Linked DNA regions of Neurospora crassa OR74A. The protein of the gene in region 1 binds, or shares a complex with, the protein of each later gene. Links are inferred from orthologs where the notes say so. Each region holds a gene or a part of one and is shown on either strand. Other genes may lie near its edges.

Region 1 (9,342 bases):
AGCTTCTTACAGTTTGCGTTTGCGGACTCCCCTCTGATGGAAAGTTTCTTCATGGAAGGAAGCCGATGTTCTCTCTGTTATCGTCAATAACACGGCCGTATCTGTTATCCAAACGTTAGCATGCCATCCAACCAACCTCACAGATAAAAGGGGGGACAGAAAGCACTTACTCCAGAAGTAACCTAAAGAACCACGCCTCCATATCCTCATGTCTCAACACCTTATTCGCCCACTCCCTCCCCTGAATCGCCACGCGCTCGGCCTCCTTCGTCCCCTGACTAACTGTCGCGCTCTCCTCGCTGAAGAACCGGACCGTCTCCAACCAGTCCTCTCCCTGCGTGCTCAGCGGGATGAAGTGCGCCCACGGCTTCAGCCACTCATAATGCCACTCCCTGAAAATGGCCCACTTGTACACCAGACTCCTGCTCTTGAGGAACGCATAAAACCGACCGGAAAACGCATTTCCGTCAATGTCCAGCACATGCTTGTACTTGAACGCATCCACCTGCTCGGCGTACGACTTGACCTCGAAGAATTCACGCTGCGCGTCGCAGTCGCCCGGGTCGCACTGGCCGATGTGCGAGAAGAACACGTTGATAATATCGCGGTAGTCGGACCGCGATACCTCGTTGACCACCCAATCCGGGTTCTGCTCGTTCTTGCCCTTGTTCACCAGCACTTTCGCGGTGTCGCGCTCGTTGATCTTCTGCACGAAGCGCTGACGATGCTGGCGCCGCCACCCCCCGTTGCGCGAGAAGCCGCCGGTGGTGGAACCGCGCCAGTACAGCTGGTTGGCCTTGTCGTCCCAGAGCGGGTCCTTGCCTTCTTCGTAGGGGACCTTTTCGTACCAGTACCAGGGGGAAGGGTACAAAATGTCGGCGTACGAGGAAATCTTGCTCTGCGAGAAGATGGGGAAGAGATCGTGCACGACGTTGTAAGCGTTGGGGCGGTCGAAGAAGCCGAAGGTGGTGGAGAGCGAGGGCGAGAGACAGACGTCCGACATGGCAGTCCAGTTGTATACGAAGCCGAGCTCGCCCAGGCCGAACTGGCCGACGTCGTCGAGCCGCTGGGGCTTGTCGGCGCCTTCTTCGTCGATGAGGCGAGCAGGACTGTCGGCCGGGCAGCTCATGCGCGAGTGCGTCCATGTGGGCTGGTGGGCGAATACGTTGAACCGGGTGAACTTTTCCTCGGAGAAGCTGCCGGTAGGACTGAGTCCGCCGTCGGGATCGCGGGTGAAGTCGTTTCGGTAGGCAGACCCCTTGTTCGCCGCGGGCATGTTGACGTTCTTCGCCCGCCCAACCAGCCGCGCCATGTCCTCAGCGGGAACGACGACGCGCGGCTCGTCGTGGATGTTGAAAGCCAGGTCCATATCCGGTAGCCACTGCTTAAACTTCTTCATCATGCCCTTGGTCGCCTCGACCTGCCACTCCTGTCCGCCACGGACGTAGACGATCTCGCCGTCACGGATCTGGAGGCCAATAAGGGCGTTTCCGTCGAATCCCAGGGCTTCCTTAGCGCGCATGCGGATGGTTCTTGGCGAGAGTCCCCAAAAGGGGGTGATGAGTTCGTGGATCATGTCGAATTCGTCGACGAGCTGGACATCATGTTCCTTGGCGAAAGCCCACCACTTGTCAAAGTTGGGGGGTGGGGGCAGTCCGTACCGCCTGCGGTACTCCTTAACGGCTTCCTTGAGGGTACGAGACTGACGGGTCTTGGTAGCTTCGAGATCGCGCTCGGCGTCGATGGTCAAATGCCATATTGGGTGGGAACCTTTCGGGGCTGGTTTGGGAGGTCGGATCGCGGCCGGTTTGGACTTGAAGTCAATGTTGTGGTGCGGGAGATGGTGGGCGCCATTCTGGTAAGAGTCTTTCAACCTCTGTTGCCCTTGGCTGAGGGTCGAGGAGGAGGTGAAGAGCGAGTAGATGCAGAAGAAGATAAAGACGGTTCCCACCAGGATCAAGAGCTGGCGGGACCGCATCGTGTCAGTATTAAGTAGGGTAGGTCGGTCGGTCGGTCGGTCGGTCGGTCGTTACGTGGCGTAGCTTGCTCTTCCCATCGGCTATGCTCGTCCAAATTCTTTACTGCCGATGTTGCTGGTGTAGAGATGGAGGTTCGAACTCCAAATTAGAATACCGAGGGGGAGACTTCTGAAGCTTCGTAGCGCCCTCTTTCAACAAGCGACAAGTCGGTCACAAAAAAATTGGAACTAAAGTGTTTATCGTTGTCTGTGACAGTGGTGTTGAGCTGCCCAATTGCCCGCGGTTGGCATTGCCGCGGACGAACAGTGATATGGCTTGGCTCTGTAGGGTAAACCCAAAGCTCAAGAAATTGGTTGGTTCGGAAAAAAAAAAGAAAAAGAAGAAAACAAGAAAAGAAAAAACCACGAGAAGCGGAAGAGTGGCCTGTCACAGCATCTGGAAAGTGTCCTCTTCCACACGGATTAAACTGCACCTGAAGAATGAAGATCCCCGAAGTGCCTGTGTGCCTGTTTCCTGTCCGTTTCCTAATTTTGGAGTACATAACCGAGGTGACCCAGGTACCCCAAGATGGACATCTAAACGAAGTGGCGTACTTGATGCGGGCGTCAGGGGCCAAGGAGGGGCGGGCGGTGGGTTAGCCTTAACTACGGGTACCTGACCAGACTCGGGCGGTGTCTAGAATCAGCAGGGATCTGCATCTCCAGGCCAGCGCAAGCTCCACGGCTTCAGGGGCAGTGTTACGCGTCGCCTTGATGCCCGGTGCTGGTTGAACATGAAGCAATTCCCATGTCAACGTGGTGCGGCTGCCAAACACACTGACGGCAATCCACTCTTCTCAGCTTCGTGGTTTCTCCTGTCCGAAACTTCATCCAGCTGCTTAACATACACTCAGTTTTACCACGTCGCTTTCATCTACACGTCAGGTTCATTTCATCACATCACTCGATTTTGACATCAGGTTGAACGGAGATTGGTGGAGGAACCAGCTCTTCAATTTTTGAGGTGGGTTATATGCTGCAACATTACTTGCAGAGACCAGACAGAGGTATCATCCTCCCATCGACTTCCCCAACACCCAAAGCGTGGCTTGCTAGAGATCCTCCTCATTCCCGACTTTAAGCGAGAAACATCCGCTTAGTAGAAGAAGCCGATGATCTTGCCGGAGACGTGCTTGCGACGGGCCTCCTCGTGGTCCATGATACCAGCAGAGGTGGTGAGGATGACGTAGCCGAACTGACGGGCGGGAAGGAGCTTGACAACCCACTTCTCGAGCTCAGCGAGGCGGACGTTGTAGCGGGGAGAGATGACACCGCACTTGTTCATGCGGCCGTTGAGCTGGACAACGATCTTGCCGGAGCGGTGGTCATCGACCTCCTCGAACTCGCCGATGTAGCCTGAAGGACAAAAATGTCAGTGAAATGTCGCGACAGTTTAAACATTAGATATCATTGGTGACTCCAGTAACGTGTAAGACTCTCGCATTTGATATATCGGCGACTTAAAAGACTAAGATCGTGGAGCGTAGTGAGACCTCGGCCTAGTTATACGCCGAATGGTGTGGTGAATATGGAAGTGACGGGGGGGATGTTCGATTGCGAGTCTGTCCACGGTTCCCTTCGTCGTTTGCCAATGATATCTGACAGTCGGGTTTGCGATTCGAACATACCGTGCTTCTGCATGACCTGGAGGAACTTGATGATGACCTTGGAAGAAGGGCGGATCAAGACCTGGCGCTTGCCGGCCTTCTCGGCGTTGTTGATGCTGTTGAGGGCATCGTGGAGAACGGAAGTGCGGACCATCTTGACGGTTTGTTTGAGGAGATTCTCAAATCGGGAATGGGATCAGAGGTATCTGCCAGATCCATGCATGTTAGCCTTCGAGGCCCCGTGAGCATGGAGAGTGCCCTCTGGAACAACGCAGTAAAGGTGTCCCAAGGGTTCTGCCCGCTCAGTTGCCGACGAGGAGAAGCGTATCAGTGGTCGTCGACTTTCACCATCGCGAGCTGATTGCTTTCCTGGGCCTTTGCGAAGGGCATTATCCTGTTGTCGAGGACATTCTCCGGCGTCGTAGTAGTTTCACATACCTCGGTGATGGGCTTGATGCTGAGAGGACGGACAAGCTAGCAGGTGAGAGGGGAAGAAGCCGTCAAGGTCGCGATGGTCTTTTGTTGGAAAATTTCGAGCGGGCGGGTGGATTCTGTGGTGGTGGTCTGTGCTTTGTCATGCAAAAAGTGCCCCGTGCGAATGCCCTAACGCCGAGTAGCTGGGCTACTCTTGGCGCTCGTCGGCCCGGCAGAGGTGCCCTTCAGGCGCATCACACAAAATTTCGGAATTTTGGAGCGACGGTTTCGCGCTGGCGGTCGGCGTGGTGTGGGGAGGTGGTCGGTGCGCGCACATAATTTCTGTCCAGAGCTTTTTGCTCTTCGCGGAAAGACGAGACTCGCAGGCCCCTCTCGCTTCCCCCGATCACCACCCATTGAAATACTTTCTCCATTAACTCTTCGAGGATCGTATCCGACAACAACCCCAAGCAAATCGCCAAGATGGTGAGACACCCGTCCCGTCCCCTACGTGCGAGCTGAAGTGTCGCCGTCGCGACCGTCGATTCGATATCCTAGAACCGATTACATCTCGAAAGAAGAAGCATGACGAACTAGGCATACTCGACATCGACGGCGCCGAACGCCCCGACATCTTCAGTGCGACACGACCCGATTACAATGAGGAAGCAAAAGAACACTCCCGCTAACATGGTCTTTTTGTGGAATTGTAGTCGGACGTAGAAGAGAACACTGTCCCCGCCTCCGAGGAGGTTGAGGTTTCCGCCGATGCTGCCCCCAAGGGCCAGATGAGCGTCCTTGATGCCCTCAAGGGTGTTCTCAAGATCTCCCTCATGCACGACGGTCTTGCCCGCGGTCTCCGTGAGGCCTCCAAGGCCCTCGACCGCCGTGAGGCTCACATGTGCGTCCTCAACGAGTCCTGCGAGGAGGAGGCCTACAAGAAGCTCGTCATTGCTCTTTGCTCCGAGCACAAGATCCCCCTCATCAAGGTTCCCGATGGCAAGCAGCTCGGCGAGTGGGCTGGTCTCTGTGAGTACACCTGTTAATCGAACAACATATCTTGGGGCGATCTCGCTGACTGTGCTACTAGGCGTCCTTGACCGTGAGGGTAACGCCCGCAAGGTCGTCAACTGCTCTTGCGTCGTTGTCAAGAACTGGGGTGAGATGTCCTCCGAGCGTGAGGTAAGAATTATACCCGAGTCTGCTGTTTAGCCACAGTGTACTGACAAACGACACTACAGATCCTCCTCAACTACTTCCAGACCGAGCAGTAAATTGGCGATTCGCATCTTGGCGAGGCGGAACACCTAGGGATGGACAGGCTGTAGACGCGTCCCAGACATTGGCTCTAACAAGCCCTGTGTCTGGTTGGACGTACGCTTGGGTAGACCTTACCGACTGGCACAAATGCTTAGAGCAGGCCTTAACTGGCTTCCCTGCAAGGGGCAATAAACAACGTAAAAGGTCCAAAAACTGCTGGCCAATTCTTGAAGTGACTCTGTATGAATCGCGTTGTCATGCGTGAAATCCTGCAATTTGTATGCCATTGTCAATGGCGTCACAAGCCCATGGGAAGAGCAAGGACTTGTTCTCCAAATGGGGAATGGAAAAGGGGACTAACACCCAAAGGTTGTAGTATGCATTCTTATATCATTTTTTACCCTCTACCATGATGATGTGGTAGCCAAATTGTGTCTTGACCTCACCAATCTTGGGGCTACTGGTGCTGCTGGTCTCCAAAGCAAACGCAACCTTTTCAAACTCGGGATCCAAGGTGCCCTTTTGCTTCCAACCCAAACTTCCGCCTATAATGTTCCGTGTAAGTGAGTGAGTGACATTGACTGCAAAAAAATGAAAACCCATAACGATCCGCCAGAACGGCCCAAAAAAAAGGACAATGGGATGAACAACTGTGAAACAGCCCGCTACAATGCCACTCAACAAGAAGCAGACAAAGGAATAAAGAGGTATCTCACCAGTCCTCGCCTTATCCTCACTATATTCCCTAGCAACCGCACCAAAATCAGCTCCATCGCGGATCTTGGCCAGCGCTTCTTCCTTCTTGCCATGTTTCTCACACTACAGTATACAGTCATCATCAGTAACCGCCCGCATGATACACCACTTCGACAAGAAGCGAAAGTAGACAGGAGCCAACTGAAGGGCGACCTAGATACTGGGAAAAGCACTTACCAGAATATGCCGAACGTTAATCGACTGAGCACCCTTGCTGGCCTTGCCGGCGTCCTTGCCCGCATCTTTGTTGCCTGCGTCCTTGCCGCCTTTGCTGCCGGAGCCGGAACCGGAGGCTTTCTTGTCCTTGCCCATTCTTAATTTTGGATATCGCGTCGGTGATGAGAAGCTGCGAAGAATAAAGAGCGGGTGAGGGACTGATGAGTTGAGAGAATAGGCGGCTTGATGTTTCAGGTGGTGATGATAAGTTTGCAGACTCCAGCTTCCGTGGTGAGATGATGAAAATGGAAGTGGGGTTGCGTTGTGAGGATGGAAGTAGCAGCTTGAAGCGACAAGCTGACCGTGTTTGGGTCGGGTGGTGGGAGGAATTGGAGAGGAGGAAGGCTCTACAGAACCCTAACCCTGGTTGGAAGGGGGTTGCCCCTTTTCAACGTCACTCCGGCTGTCACGAAGATGGACACTACGGAATTCGAGACGAAGGATCAGCTTGGTCATGGCTGCATTTTCTTTCATGAGTTAATCTTATTTGTGCTTTTTACTTGTTCTCTTGTTGTTTCTGAAATGATCCAGAGAAGAGGCAGGAACCTGGGACCTGGAACCTCGGCAGAGAGGGAGGAGGGGGAAGGAATAGACTGGAAGGAGTCACAGTCGCGAAGTTCGCACTCGGGAGGTCAAAGATCTTAAATAGATTGTCAACAGTCACGATTCCAGAGAGATGTGGAAAATAGTCTGCCGTAGCTCCCCCGTCTGTTCTCCTGGTTGCCATCAGCGACCCGAATGATAGGTGATCATGTGTCGCAACTGAACGTCGACAGCGATTTTATGCTCTTCCCAAGCTTACTGCAACCATATTTACGCAAGAACTTTCTTATTTGACTGCAGAAGTCATATTGTAGAGCTTGCTTATCGAGGACTAACAGGCGACGTCCGGAAGGCATGAAAAATACTACTCGGCAGGCGTAGTCGCTGAGATCCCGCTCCCGCCCATATACGCAGCATATGTTGTTTGAAAAAAGGAAGTGGTGATCTGAAAACCCAAGGGCGTATTTCTCCTTCCAGATGTGAAGTGACAGAATGAAGCCATGACGGTGAAGCGACTTCCACGTTTCTTTGCAGCGTGGAGTTCAATGATACACGCAACATCGTACCTGTTGTGCTTTCTCTTCTCGAGTTCGGGAATGGAGTACCCAACGAGCGTCCCGCATCTAGTATTTATTCTTCGCTGCCGCCATGTTCCGCATTCTCTTGTTTCTCTTCTTCGTCTTTCACAGCTTTCCATACTTACTTCATCCACTCCGTGCACCTCACAACTACTCTCACCTCACAACTTACTTTGCTTCATTGTTACTTCTCTCGGTCTTGTACTCCCTTGCTTGAGTAATCTTACACACATCTACCTCCTTTACCCAGACACCAACTTCCACGTCACAATGGGCTCAGACAGGCGCAAGCAATGGGCGAAGAAACGCGAGACGAGCGAGGCCAAGGTGCTGGCAGAGAGAGAAGCTAGCGCCGCAGCGCGCGAATCAGAACCTCCCATCCCAACGCCAGATCCATCCGCAGATGACGAAAGCACAACAACGACGGAAAACACAACAACATCCAAGGTGGACGAACTCATGCAAACGTACCACAACAGCAAGATGGGCGAGCAAAAAGACAATGCTCTCGCCTACATATTGTATGCTGCCGGGGACGAAATGTGTGCATACTCTTCCACGACCGACTGGAGACTACAACGTGTCATTCGAGCCGTCACCGCTGTACTCGAAGACGTCAATACATTCACCACTACCGAGGAGAACGAAAGCCACCATCTGCAGCGGCGGTTCCAGTCCAGATCCGAAGGAAGCGCGCTGCCTCCCCATGTCCATATCCACTCCGAGGTTGTCGGGGAAGCTTCGAATAGTCCAGTCCTCCGTTGTCTGAACCAATACCCAAAACTGGACAGCGAATCCTACGCGTGGCAACCGTGGTATCAGGGGCTCTACGGGGCGTATCATGAAGATTGTGCGGCGGGCCTTGATCCTACCAATCACACCCATGCTTTGGCGGCGTGGAATGCAATCTTGGACAAGCTGCCGCCACATGTGTTGGTGACGCTCATGAGCGAGAAACCCTTGGACCCGGAGCGGCCGGATCCGAGTTTACTGTTGACTGCTTTGGACGAGTATTCCGTTCCGGGAATGTAATTGAAGCTCAGGCGTCATGCTTGAGTTTTCATTTCGTCAGCTTCTGAGTGGTGATGCAGGGACAGGTTGGAACGGCATTGTTGATTTCACTGCGAGGAAGGTTGTTGGGCTTTTGGTTTGGAGAGGATTTTGTTTCTGGCTTTCTGGTTTGCCGAATTTGTGGTTGAGGTCGAGAGTATCTCTGAAACAGGCCATCTGGTATTGGGAGCATTAACGACGATGGTGGATTTGACATTCAACTTGAAGATACCCGTCGCCAAAATCAAACGGTGATTCAATGATCTAAGGAGTATGGATGAGAAACAGCAACAACCAGCGAAACAGCGATTATTGAGATTAGTCAATAGTTTCACAGCATCATAGAAACCATCTCCCAAGTAACAAGATTGCCCCGGGAGATTCAACGTGTCTTCCGATTAAACCAACTTCCTTTTACCTTATCTCGTTTGTGAGTTGTGGGGGACGAGACAAGTGAAGAAATGCGATCACTTGTAGTGAGCAGCAATGAAACCAAACGCGCAGTATAGGTTTTTTTTTTTTTTTTTTTTTTTTTTTTTTTTTTTTGGAGGTTTGGAAGTGCCCTGAAGATGAAAGTGTAAGATTCCTACCACAGCCGAGGATACAAGCAGATGTTTGATGAATGGGTCTTTTGCTTGTATTATACCAGACATGTCCCATCTTCAAAAATGCATGATGCTTTGACGACCACCAAACACAAGCCCCCTTTCCCTCCCCTCTCCTCCCATTATGTAATATGACTATTGTTGCCCCTTTCTACCTCCAAGCCACTAGAACAGAACTAACCGAGACAAACAAATGCACCGCGTCTGTTTAAATCCAATCCAATCCAAATATAACTCCCCTTCTCCACCTAGTATAGTACTCTTCCGCAATGCATCGCATCTGTGTGTATATATAA
Region 2 (9,827 bases), on another chromosome or scaffold:
CAGCGCATCGCCGAGCGTCAGGCCGAGCGCGCCCGCCAGCTGGCTGAGGATTCGGACGCGGAGGAGGAGACCGAGGCCGAGCGCCGCGAGCGCCTCCGCCGCGAGCAGAAGGAGTCCGATCTTAAACACGCTGAGGACCTGTTTGCCGGCATCGGCATCAGCAACGACCGCAAGGTCGTCAGCAAGGGCACCATTGTCCAGATCGACCCCAAGGACCCCAACAACACCATCGACATCTCGACCTTGGCCTTGTTCAACCCTACCACCAAGACCCAGTTTGAGACCCTCCGCACCACTCTTGGCCCCATGATCGGCAAGCTCTCGCCCAAGCCGCACTACACCCTCTTCCTCCAGGAGTTCTCCAAGCAGCTCGCCAAGGACCTCAAGAGCGACGAGATCAAGAAGATTGCTAGCACCTTGACTGCTCTCAGCAACGAGAAGCTCAAGGAGGAGAAGGCTGCCGAAAAGGGTGGCAAGAAGAGCAAGGCTGCCAAGACAAAGACCTCGCTCGCTGGTGTTGGTCGTGGTGGTGCCATTGCTGAGGCCCACGACACTTATGATGATGATGCTTTCGGAGAGTAAGTTGGCTTGAGGTGGAGTGAGAAAAGATACGCGTGGGGAACGATTGCTAACGTTTCGCTCTAGTGATGACTTCATGTGAAAGATTTCTACCGATAAATCACAATCGTTCGCTTTGTGAGGAAGAGAGGCCTCGAGTCCCTCTTCCCATCAAGGGATGTAGAATCATCCCCTTCACCAGGTATAATACTCATCTCACCCGGGAAGCATTCGGAGCGAAGCAAAAAAGTAGCGGTTGCGTGTGTTTCATGGCGTAAAAAGAAAGCGTAGACTACCACGACACCCGCGCAACGGTCACGGCACGTCCGCCGTCCGGACGTAAGGTTCAGTGGCATGATGTCTTGGATGGATGCATGAGGGATCAGAGTCGTCATCAGTGCCAGACTGGACGAAAAAAGGAGGATGGCCTCTTGGGGCACTGATCGAGTCGCGACTTGGGGGTGACGGGAAAAGGCAGCAGATACCATATAGCATGGGGGAAAGTAGATTTAGAGTGCATTCAATAATGAAGGCGAGCATCACGTTTCGAAAGTCCAGGCTGCATATCATCCTGGTGTGAGGTTCTCTTATCGATGCCATGGCTAAAATTACAACCAACACTATTTCAGTCACCATCTCAGAACCCTCTCAGAAACTTACACCAGTGAACAGGTGATATTTCCCGACCATGAACACCATGTGAACTTTTCAGACAATGTTGCTGTACCCTAATCAAAACACTTAAAACTCCGATCGCGATGTTGATCTGCCCTGAGCAACCATCATCACTGACAACAAAACCAGGGCACACAAAACACCTCGCCTCCCGCATTCATATGATTCCAGCCAGTAATTCGATCCGTCCGGGTCATTAAGAGCGTAAACCAGTTTCAAATCCCCTCCCTCCTGTTCATAACCATAACCTGCCTGCCTGCCTGCCTGCCTGTCTGTTCCTTCGAGCTCCTGTTTTTCAGAGCCATATAAGTATGTTTGATGTATGTATAGTACAGTGAAATACCGCTTGGAAAGGTATGGTAACCCCCTCACGGTAAAGTAAAGTAGAGAAGAGAGAGAGAAAAAAGGATAGTACAACACAACCCCATATCGTCACAAAACAAGACTTTTCCTCTACCCGCCTGATAAAATACAGGCAAAAGTCTATAATCGTCAGTGTCATATCCAATGACGGCTCACATCAAGTCTCCCGCCACGCCAGCCAGCAACGCATGTACCACGAGACTGACCGTCCACAGTCCCACGCGCTTGAATCTCCTCACCCTACTTTGCTGATCCTCTACGTTTCTGGCAAAAGCACGGTACACCTCGGCGCTCATATCGTCCATCAGCCCACAGTCCCAAACGGTCCAAGCTCCGTCAAAGTCCGTCAGCCGCTTTACGATCCGGCAACTGATGGGGATGTAGGTGCGCTTGGCGTTGATGTAGGCGACGATGGGCCGTACTAGGGCTTGGTTCACGTAGCTCATGTGTGGGTTGTTGAACAGAGGGACAGCGGCGCGGACGTCGTTGAGGTGGATGCGAAGGTCCATGACTAGATAGGAGGGAGTTTCTTCAATCGGGGCTGGCTCTTTGGGAGTCGCGGGAGGGATCAAGGGGGGGAAGTGCTGCTCCGAGGTGGGGAGCTCGTCGTGGTGGCCGGTGAGGTCGATGTCAGAGGCAGATTCCGGAATTGGCCCGCTTTCGAGGGTGGGGCTGTTGGTGTTGCTTCGGCTGTTGGGAGAAATGTTGCCGTCTAGAATCTTGAGGTAGCGGTTGCTGGTTACGGCTTCTTCCATTTTGTCGTAAAACTCGGCGACAACCTTGCTTAGACCCTCCTCAGGATCCGCAGGGAACATGATGTCGGCAATCATATCGACGTTGCCTTCGTAAATCCAGCCAAACGGTCCTTCTACACCGCGGTTCAAGTGGTCAATCTTCAGCCCATCAATCCGTAGTCGGGAGAACTTCTTCCAGGCCGAGGGAGAACCGAACTCGTCTTGGTGGTGACGGCCGTTATCTGCTGCGGACACACCGTGGATCTGTCTGGGATGAATGGTGAATAGTGATCCATCGAATGATCCGGACATGTGATTTGCTGACAAAAAGTCATAAAACAGCCATTGTTTTCGTAGCTGAGGCAGCTCGCAGGAGAAGATGGAAACGGAAAAGGGCCGGAAACCGCCCGGTTGGTGGACGGTGACCAGCAAGTCTTCCATCTTGAAGTGATCCAGTTCAAAGTCGCCAGGGTTATGTTCCTGTCTGAAGTCAAGGGGGTTGAGGTCCTCGTTGCCCCAGACAACCGAAGTCCTGTCAACAACGCCTCGAACACCCTTTATTTCGACGTCTTTGAGGAGACCCTTTCCGTTCCACCATTTGAGGAAAGATAAAGCCACGTTCACGGTGTCTATAGTGACGTCAAACTGTGTGTAATTGCCATCGTCCTCTTCCACGGCAGTGCCTTCTTGCTCGGCGGCTTGTTTAGCAGCAGCAGCTTCGGCCGCAGCTTCGGAAGAACCCTTCTTGACGGAAGACTTGGGCTGACCAGGTCTCCGAGAAACGAAAACATTGCGGAAAGTGATGACACCATCTCCCCATTTGGGCACAATAGCCGACTCGAAGACAACAGTAAGGCCAGCAGATTGGGTCAGGTAGTCTCCGATCCACTTGGCCAGCGTTTCCTGGGCAAACACCGTGTTGATAAAGAGGATGATGAGGGAGAAGAAGGTAGTTGTGCCAACAAGAATCCAGACCAAATGACCGAATAAGAAGAAGGACACAAACGCTCCCCATTCGTCGGCGTTCCAGGGGCGCATGCTCCTGATGGAGAACCACTTGAATCGGACCTTGAGACGCGACCAGAACCCGCTTGCTGCCGCCAGAAGCTCTTCTTTTGTGGGCCGATGAGGCAAATGGGGGAGGTGAGGAAGGTGAAGGTATTTAGACATGGAATCTGCTATTGATTCATGTGCGGGAGTCGGCTGGGAACCAGAACCGGAAGCCGTCTCGGTATTCGGTGGCTGCTGTGGTTGCTCGGACTTTTGCTGAGGAGAAATTGTAGAAGACTTGGCTTCGGCCTTGGTCTCGTCATGATCACCCTTGGTCTCTTTGCCCGAACTTTGGAATCGCTTTCCTGTCTTGCATAACGTTGTGGTCGTGGTGTTCTGTCGTATCCTTCGCAAGAGTAAAGCCTGCCGAGCCAAGTGGCCCATTTTTGCCTTTTGCGCGGCATTGCCGGATAGTGCGGATGCCTCTACCGTGCTCGTTGGAGAGGGGCTGGTGGTGAGCCCAAGGAGGAGTAGGCCTCCGGAGGTACAGCTTCGTAGGACATTATGGGATGGTTGTGACTGTTGATAGTGTAGTCTTTGCGATTTTGTTGCTGGGAAGAAAAAGCGACTTGCGGAAGAGGTAAATTGTCGCGTGCTCTGCTGCTGTCCGTATCGCTGATGGGACCCCAGCGATGTCGAGGGGCCAAGTCCAAGACTTTGACGACTCAGTAATGGCTGACAAGTTGGAAGCAGTATCGCGGCTGTGAAGAGATTCGAGGTGGTGTGAAGATCTCGTACTGAAGACCATAGCTGGCGGCCCAGCTGGGTCGTCGTAGCGCTAGTAGACATTGTTGAAATTCATACTGTCGACCGAGTAAGGGACCGACCTGTTCCTTTTTTTTTTCCTATGTTTTCAGCGACGATGGTGATGACGACAGCTCGGTGCCGTATCCATGGTCGGTCCTCGAGGCTGAAAATCAGATGTTGTTGCTTGGTGGTGGGCCGAGTCTAGAATGACATATGATGGTGCTCCTGCTCTGACCAAGAACCTGGAGTTTGAAAAAGCTGCCGGTCCAGGTCCCCGTCAAAAGTGCGTCAATGACGCTAACCTTGGGATTACAGGGATTCCTCGGTAACTGTTAGTGCATGGGCGTTGCGATTGGCAAGGGTCCTAGCCCCCATGCAGCCAATCGATAAGCTTCACTTGGGTACTCTTTTGTGGATCCACTGCTTTTTGTCAAGAATTTCCCCTCTGCGCTATCAAAATCGATAAACATCAAAATTCTAGAGACCGACGGCGCAAAAAGGCAGAACTTCGACTCCCAGATCTCCGCAATTCACGACTGTAACCCAGCATCCCGACACTTCTTTCGTCGCCCGTCACCAGTCTCTCCTCCACCCGATTTTCGAAAAATCTGCCATTACTCTTGGCCGGCGATTTCCCAAAATACTACCGACTTTAATCAACAAACAACCCGACTCGGCCCCTTGACCATCACCCACCGATAAACAACACATCTCGCCCAACATGCCTGCGCCAACAGCACTTCGTCAGCCTGTCAAGGCTCCCGCCGCCCAGATTCCTATCCAGACCGAGCAAGAGGACGAGCTCATTCTCGATGTCAACGAGGCCGTCAACCTCACCGATCCCAGCGCCGCCGCTCCCCCTTCCAATGACCAAGATGTGCAGATGGCTGTAGACGAGGAGGGCCGCCCCCGTTTCGCCCCCGGCCAGGACGTCCAGATCATTCGCCGCGCAGAGACCAGGAAAATTGGTATCCCGCCAAACCGCATGTCGGCCCTCAAGGCCAATTGGACCAAGATGTGAGACGGAAAACTACGGAAACATGTGTGAATGTTTGGGCAAGGAAGACTGACTGTTTTCCAATCAGCTACCCCCCACTTGTAGAGCACTGCAAGCTCCAGGTCCGCATGAACATCAAGGAGAAGCGCGTCGAGCTCCGCTCCAGCAGACACACCACCACCCCCGAATCCCTGCAGATGGGTGCCGATTTCGTCTCCGCCTTCGCCATGGGCTTCGACATTGACGACGCCATTGCCCTGCTCCGTCTCGATTCGCTCTATATCCAGTCCTTCGATGTCAAGGATGTCCGTCAGACCCTTGGCCCCGATGCTCTGGGACGTGCGATTGGTCGTATTGCAGGCAAGGACGGAAAGACCAAGTTTGCGATTGAGAATGGTACGTTCACCATTATGGGAGAATGGAAGAGATGACGCAGAAGTACTGACAAGATGTGAAAAGCCACAAAAACCAGAATCGTCCTCGCCGGCTCCCGCGTTCATATCCTCGGTGCCTTCGAGAACATTGGCATGGCCCGCGAGTCCGTCGTCTCCCTCATTCTCGGACACCAGCCCGGCAAGGTGTACAACAACCTCCGGATCATTGCCTCGAGGCAAAAGGAGAGATTCTAAGCTCTTTCTTTCACGAAAAACGGCAACAATGTGTTACACTTCTATTGCCGCTATTCTCACCTAATGAATGGTTCACGCACGGGGCTGCATGGTTCAGTCAACAAAAAATCGACGGTTTTCATCACATAAGGGGCGAAGGTGGCATTTCGGGAGCTACGCTTAAAAAGGGTTCTGGCGTTTAGGAGTTCATTATGCTTTTGCTTTGAGTTTGGAGAGTTTGAAATGGGCGATTCAGTCAGTCATGCTGGGGATATCTACGAAGGTGTGTAGAAGCGGGAGGAAGAGGACGGGATATTGGGGAGCTACCGCCTTGCGAATCTTTCAATGTGTGGTTATGATCTATACCCGGAGGACGAGAAGAGAAGACAATGAACAGAGATATTCACCAAAAGGCGGTTTAGTGCATATTGGCTGGCAAGGTCGATTATTGTGCAGAGAAAGTGATGTGGGAAACTGATCCAGTGCGCTCATTTGGTTGAGGTTCAATTCCATGGTGACGGCAAATCAAGCAAAATGTAAGGAGCTGATGTGATGGGCACCAATGTAGCCAGGTGAGCCACGATAGATTGGTTTCTTCAGGTCATACAAGTAGTAGTTATTTCCATCCATTCTCTTATCTCGCTTGTTCCGCATAAGTAAAGGTCTTGTTTGTTTTACAGTCCAGATGGCGAACCGTATATCGAAATAGCAGATAGAGCATAGTCAAACCCCTCGATATTCACCTACGATAGGTGGGATGAGACCATCTTAACCCGAGGAGGCTCTTTTTGTGCTCTGACTGACCAACTCCCATGACTCATCAAGCTTGTTGAAATAAAGTGAAGGCAAGACGTAGCAAAAAGTGATATACGTATGGGTATCTTCTGAAGAGCTAGGGTACCACCTCCGCACCATGAACCGTGTCCTGGAAGGACTTGCAACACTCCAAACTCCGTAATCATCTGTCACAACTTTAAGCAAAAACAATAATCCACTAGTCACCGCCGATTTCGTAGGCCTGACGAATAAGCCCGGTAAACTCCAACCCCATAACAGCTAAAGAAATGTGCGAATAACGTCTCCCAAAACCCAGTCTCCATGTTTATTCTCCAGGTCATACACTACTTGATGTAGACCTCAAACTGATTGGTCTCGTCCCTCTCAATGTCCATCGCCCCAACCAGCATGTTCTCGTTCAGCTCCTCGCCGTCAAACTGTATCACGACAGTCTGCTCCGGCTTGATATCTCTCTGCTTCCGGAAAACCTGCACCATGGTACTGACCGGCGTATCCTCATAAACCGCGATCTTGAGCGGTTGGAGGTCTTTGGCCTTGAGTACCACTTTGATCTTGGTCTTCTTGACCTCAGCAGCCTCACTGCCACCTCTGGACCATCCATTGGCACCAGACACACCAGTTCCGCTTTGCTGGTCTTCGTCATCGTCATCGTCAATCAGCCCCAACTCCCTCTCCCTCCGCCTCTTCTCCTTCGTAAGCTCTTCCTCATAAAACTCCTCGTGCCAAACCTCCAACACCAGTCCAATTTTTCCCCCCTGGATGACATACCCCTCCATGGCCTCTCGGCTCGTCATGGCACCAGGAGGCAGCTGCAACACGCCATTGGCGTCCACCTTGACTCCCAACGAAGCAATGGTGCTGTTGCCGTAAATTCGGTTCCCTTTAAACGTCAAGAACAGCTTGCCCACCATGTCCTCGGGGATTTCGCAACCGTGGAGCACCTGCTGTCGGATCCACGTGTCTAAAATCAGCTTGAGACCTTGCTTCATCCGTCGCCGCGCAGTAAGCGGCTTGGTGTGTGGCATTCGCGAAGTGACTAGCACGTCAATTGTCCAGTTGGCCTGGTCGGCTTCTAGCGCCGCGGCTTTGGTGACCCATTTCGCAAAATCATCGTCGTCGTCGGCCTTATCGGCGACGATAGTGGCTTCATGATCTGGGTCGGTTGCGGATGGTGCTGGTGGTGGAGAAGATGAGAAAGAAGCGGAGCGCTTCTTGGGGCGGACTTCGGAGACTTCGAGGTCCGAGTCGTTGTCGGAGTCGAGGGCAGCGGGTTGAAAAGGTTTCCTCTTGGAGGTGGAGGATGCGCCGGGGAGGTTGAAGGAGGTCTCAACACCTTCCAGCGGCGACCTGCCGCGCTGAGTGGCCCGGGTGCTGCGGCCGAGTGCGGTAGGTTTTGGAGAGAAGCGGTCGGGGTTGCGGCGCTTTGAATGTGGGGAGTACAGGTCGTCCTTCCCATGATCGTCTTCGTCGTCGCTAAAGGCGAAGCGTTTCTTGGATGGCGTCCCCGACTTTCTTGGTGTGGTTGAAAGAGGCTTTCGGGGAGTCGGTACCCGGGCTTTGTCGGGCCGTACGATCTCTTTCCCTTTACCCTTGACGTCCATGATCAGGTCGTCATCGTCGGAGTCAACGCGCGATGCAGACGTCCTACTCAGTGCTGATACGCTCGAAGAGCTGGCGCCGAGAGGTGCTTCATTGTCACCTTCGACATTGGACGACACCCTCCTTTTCTTGTTGACATGCCCTTCCTTTGGCGACTCGGAAGGCTTCACCTTTTCCTCTGATGATGCCCGCTGCAGGTCCTCCAGGACCATGGGGAAAACATCCTTTGATCGCCGAAAGAGGGCGAGAGGGTCATCTTGGTCAGAATTGTGCTCTGGCGCATGGCTTGGGGGTGGCTCGTTGGCTGGTGTGCGTGCAACGGTGCGCTTGAAGGGCAGCGCTCTCCTTTTCTTTGGTACGTCAGTTGCCGTGTCCATGGTGGGCAAGTGGTGATGTGCTACGTTTGAGAGATTGGTGTGTGCAAAGAAATGTGAGAGTGAGGTGGTGCGCAGTTATGAATCGCAAACCTAGTGTAATATGTAGATGCGGTTCGGGTGCGCAGAGAAAACGGGAAAGTGGGATGACCAACAGGGTGGTGGTGATGGATTGATTGTTGTTCAAGGGAGAAGCGAGAGATCGGTTGTTGCTTGTTTTCAAAGCTTGTTTATAGTCGCGTCGAAAATTCGGACGTGCAGGTCCGTACAATTGTCCATGTATAGACGAAGGGCGGCTGTTAGGTTGAAGATATCGTGAATCAAAGAAGACGAGGCTGGACAAAAAAAGAAGGCGTTGGTGCAACCCCGGCGCAAAATGCGATCCGCTAACGGCAGACCATCCGAACTTTCGCTGGGCGGCGCACAGTGTGGTCACTAAACAGACAGTGCTGCGGGGCGTGTGGGGGACTGCAAGGCTGGGCCAGTCCCGTCTGGAGAAACCTAGGGAAAAAAAAGGTGGGTCTTAGCCGAGGTAAACCGCGTACTGTGAAGGGAGGTACCGCCGGCAACTGAAGCTGCCCTGAACGAGTCCTGAGCGAGCGCCGACGCTTCAGTTGATCAGGAAGTGACAGCGCCGGTAGGTAACTGACACTGAGGAGCCGAGTGACCACCAGGGCACAACGAGTCCACCACCACCCGCGGACGGGGCAAAGATGGAGATCCCTTCTCGAACACCCGTCTGGCCCCATGCACTAGACTTAGTTCGCAACTCGCCAAAAGGAACAAATGAAACGGTGTACGTGGTGTTGAAGGTCCTCCTTGGAGTCTCATCTCGATAATCTGGTTGTCTTCTATACCCCATCTGTTTCTGTCTTCTACCTCTACCCATCTCGGTTGCTTGCCTATCTACCTCTCTACCTTACTTGACTACTTCCATCAGCAACATCAACAGCCATTATTTGTTAGTGATAATATTTTCCATCGGCGGTCAATATCACCCACCTCCAACATGAGTGTCCCAAAGTCAGAATATCTCAGCTCCGTATGGGCACCCGGCATCTTTGGTAAGTCTCGGAGGTACTATTTGTGCAGAGATCACAGTGTCGCTAACAATCATCACCACAGCCAACCGGGTTGTCTTCGTCACCGGTGGTGCCGGCACCATCTGCAGTGCGCAAACTCGCGCTATGGTCCATCTGGGAGCGGACGCATGCATCATTGGTCGCAACCCAGAGAAGACTGAGAAAGCTGCCAAAGACATCGCCAAGGTCCGCTCCGGAGCTCGTGTCATTGGCATTGGCAATGTCGATGTCAGGAATGTGAG

What was found.
Region 2: NCU06432 (region 1) and NCU07956 share a complex: the UniProt entries of both Saccharomyces cerevisiae proteins name them as parts of the small ribosomal subunit. The link is inferred for Neurospora crassa OR74A from reciprocal best matches to the Saccharomyces cerevisiae genes RPS12 and PNO1.

The regions. Positions count from the first base shown.
Region 1 is NC_026503.1:1,394,569-1,403,910, forward strand, and holds NCU06432 (40S ribosomal protein S12), read left to right. Parts: upstream 1-4,298; 5' UTR 4,299-4,521; coding exon 4,522-4,524; intron 4,525-4,751; coding exon 4,752-5,067; intron 5,068-5,128; coding exon 5,129-5,220; intron 5,221-5,279; coding exon 5,280-5,312; 3' UTR 5,313-5,688; downstream 5,689-9,342. Other genes in the region: NCU06430 (capsule-associated protein CAP1), read right to left, coding at 50-101, 171-1,978; NCU06431 (40S ribosomal protein S22), read right to left, coding at 3,114-3,373, 3,646-3,778; NCU06433 (peptidyl-prolyl cis-trans isomerase pin-4), read right to left, coding at 5,689-5,843, 6,015-6,117, 6,232-6,366; NCU06434 (hypothetical protein), read left to right, coding at 7,662-8,423. UniProt on the Saccharomyces cerevisiae protein: Component of the ribosome, a large ribonucleoprotein complex responsible for the synthesis of proteins in the cell.
Region 2 is NC_026504.1:1,223,335-1,233,161, reverse strand, and holds NCU07956 (pre-rRNA-processing protein PNO1), read left to right. Parts: upstream 1-4,597; 5' UTR 4,598-4,848; coding exon 4,849-5,144; intron 5,145-5,212; coding exon 5,213-5,520; intron 5,521-5,583; coding exon 5,584-5,753; 3' UTR 5,754-6,357; downstream 6,358-9,827. Other genes in the region: NCU07954 (hypothetical protein), read left to right, coding at 1-578, 646-661; pod-1 (mitochondrion biogenesis protein), read right to left, coding at 1,749-4,169; NCU07957 (hypothetical protein), read right to left, coding at 6,854-8,506; NCU07958 (sporulation protein SPS19), read left to right, coding at 9,513-9,567, 9,629-9,822. UniProt on the Saccharomyces cerevisiae protein: Required for small ribosomal subunit (SSU) synthesis. Has a role in the processing of early nucleolar and late cytoplasmic pre-RNA species. Recruits DIM1 to nucleolar pre-RNAs.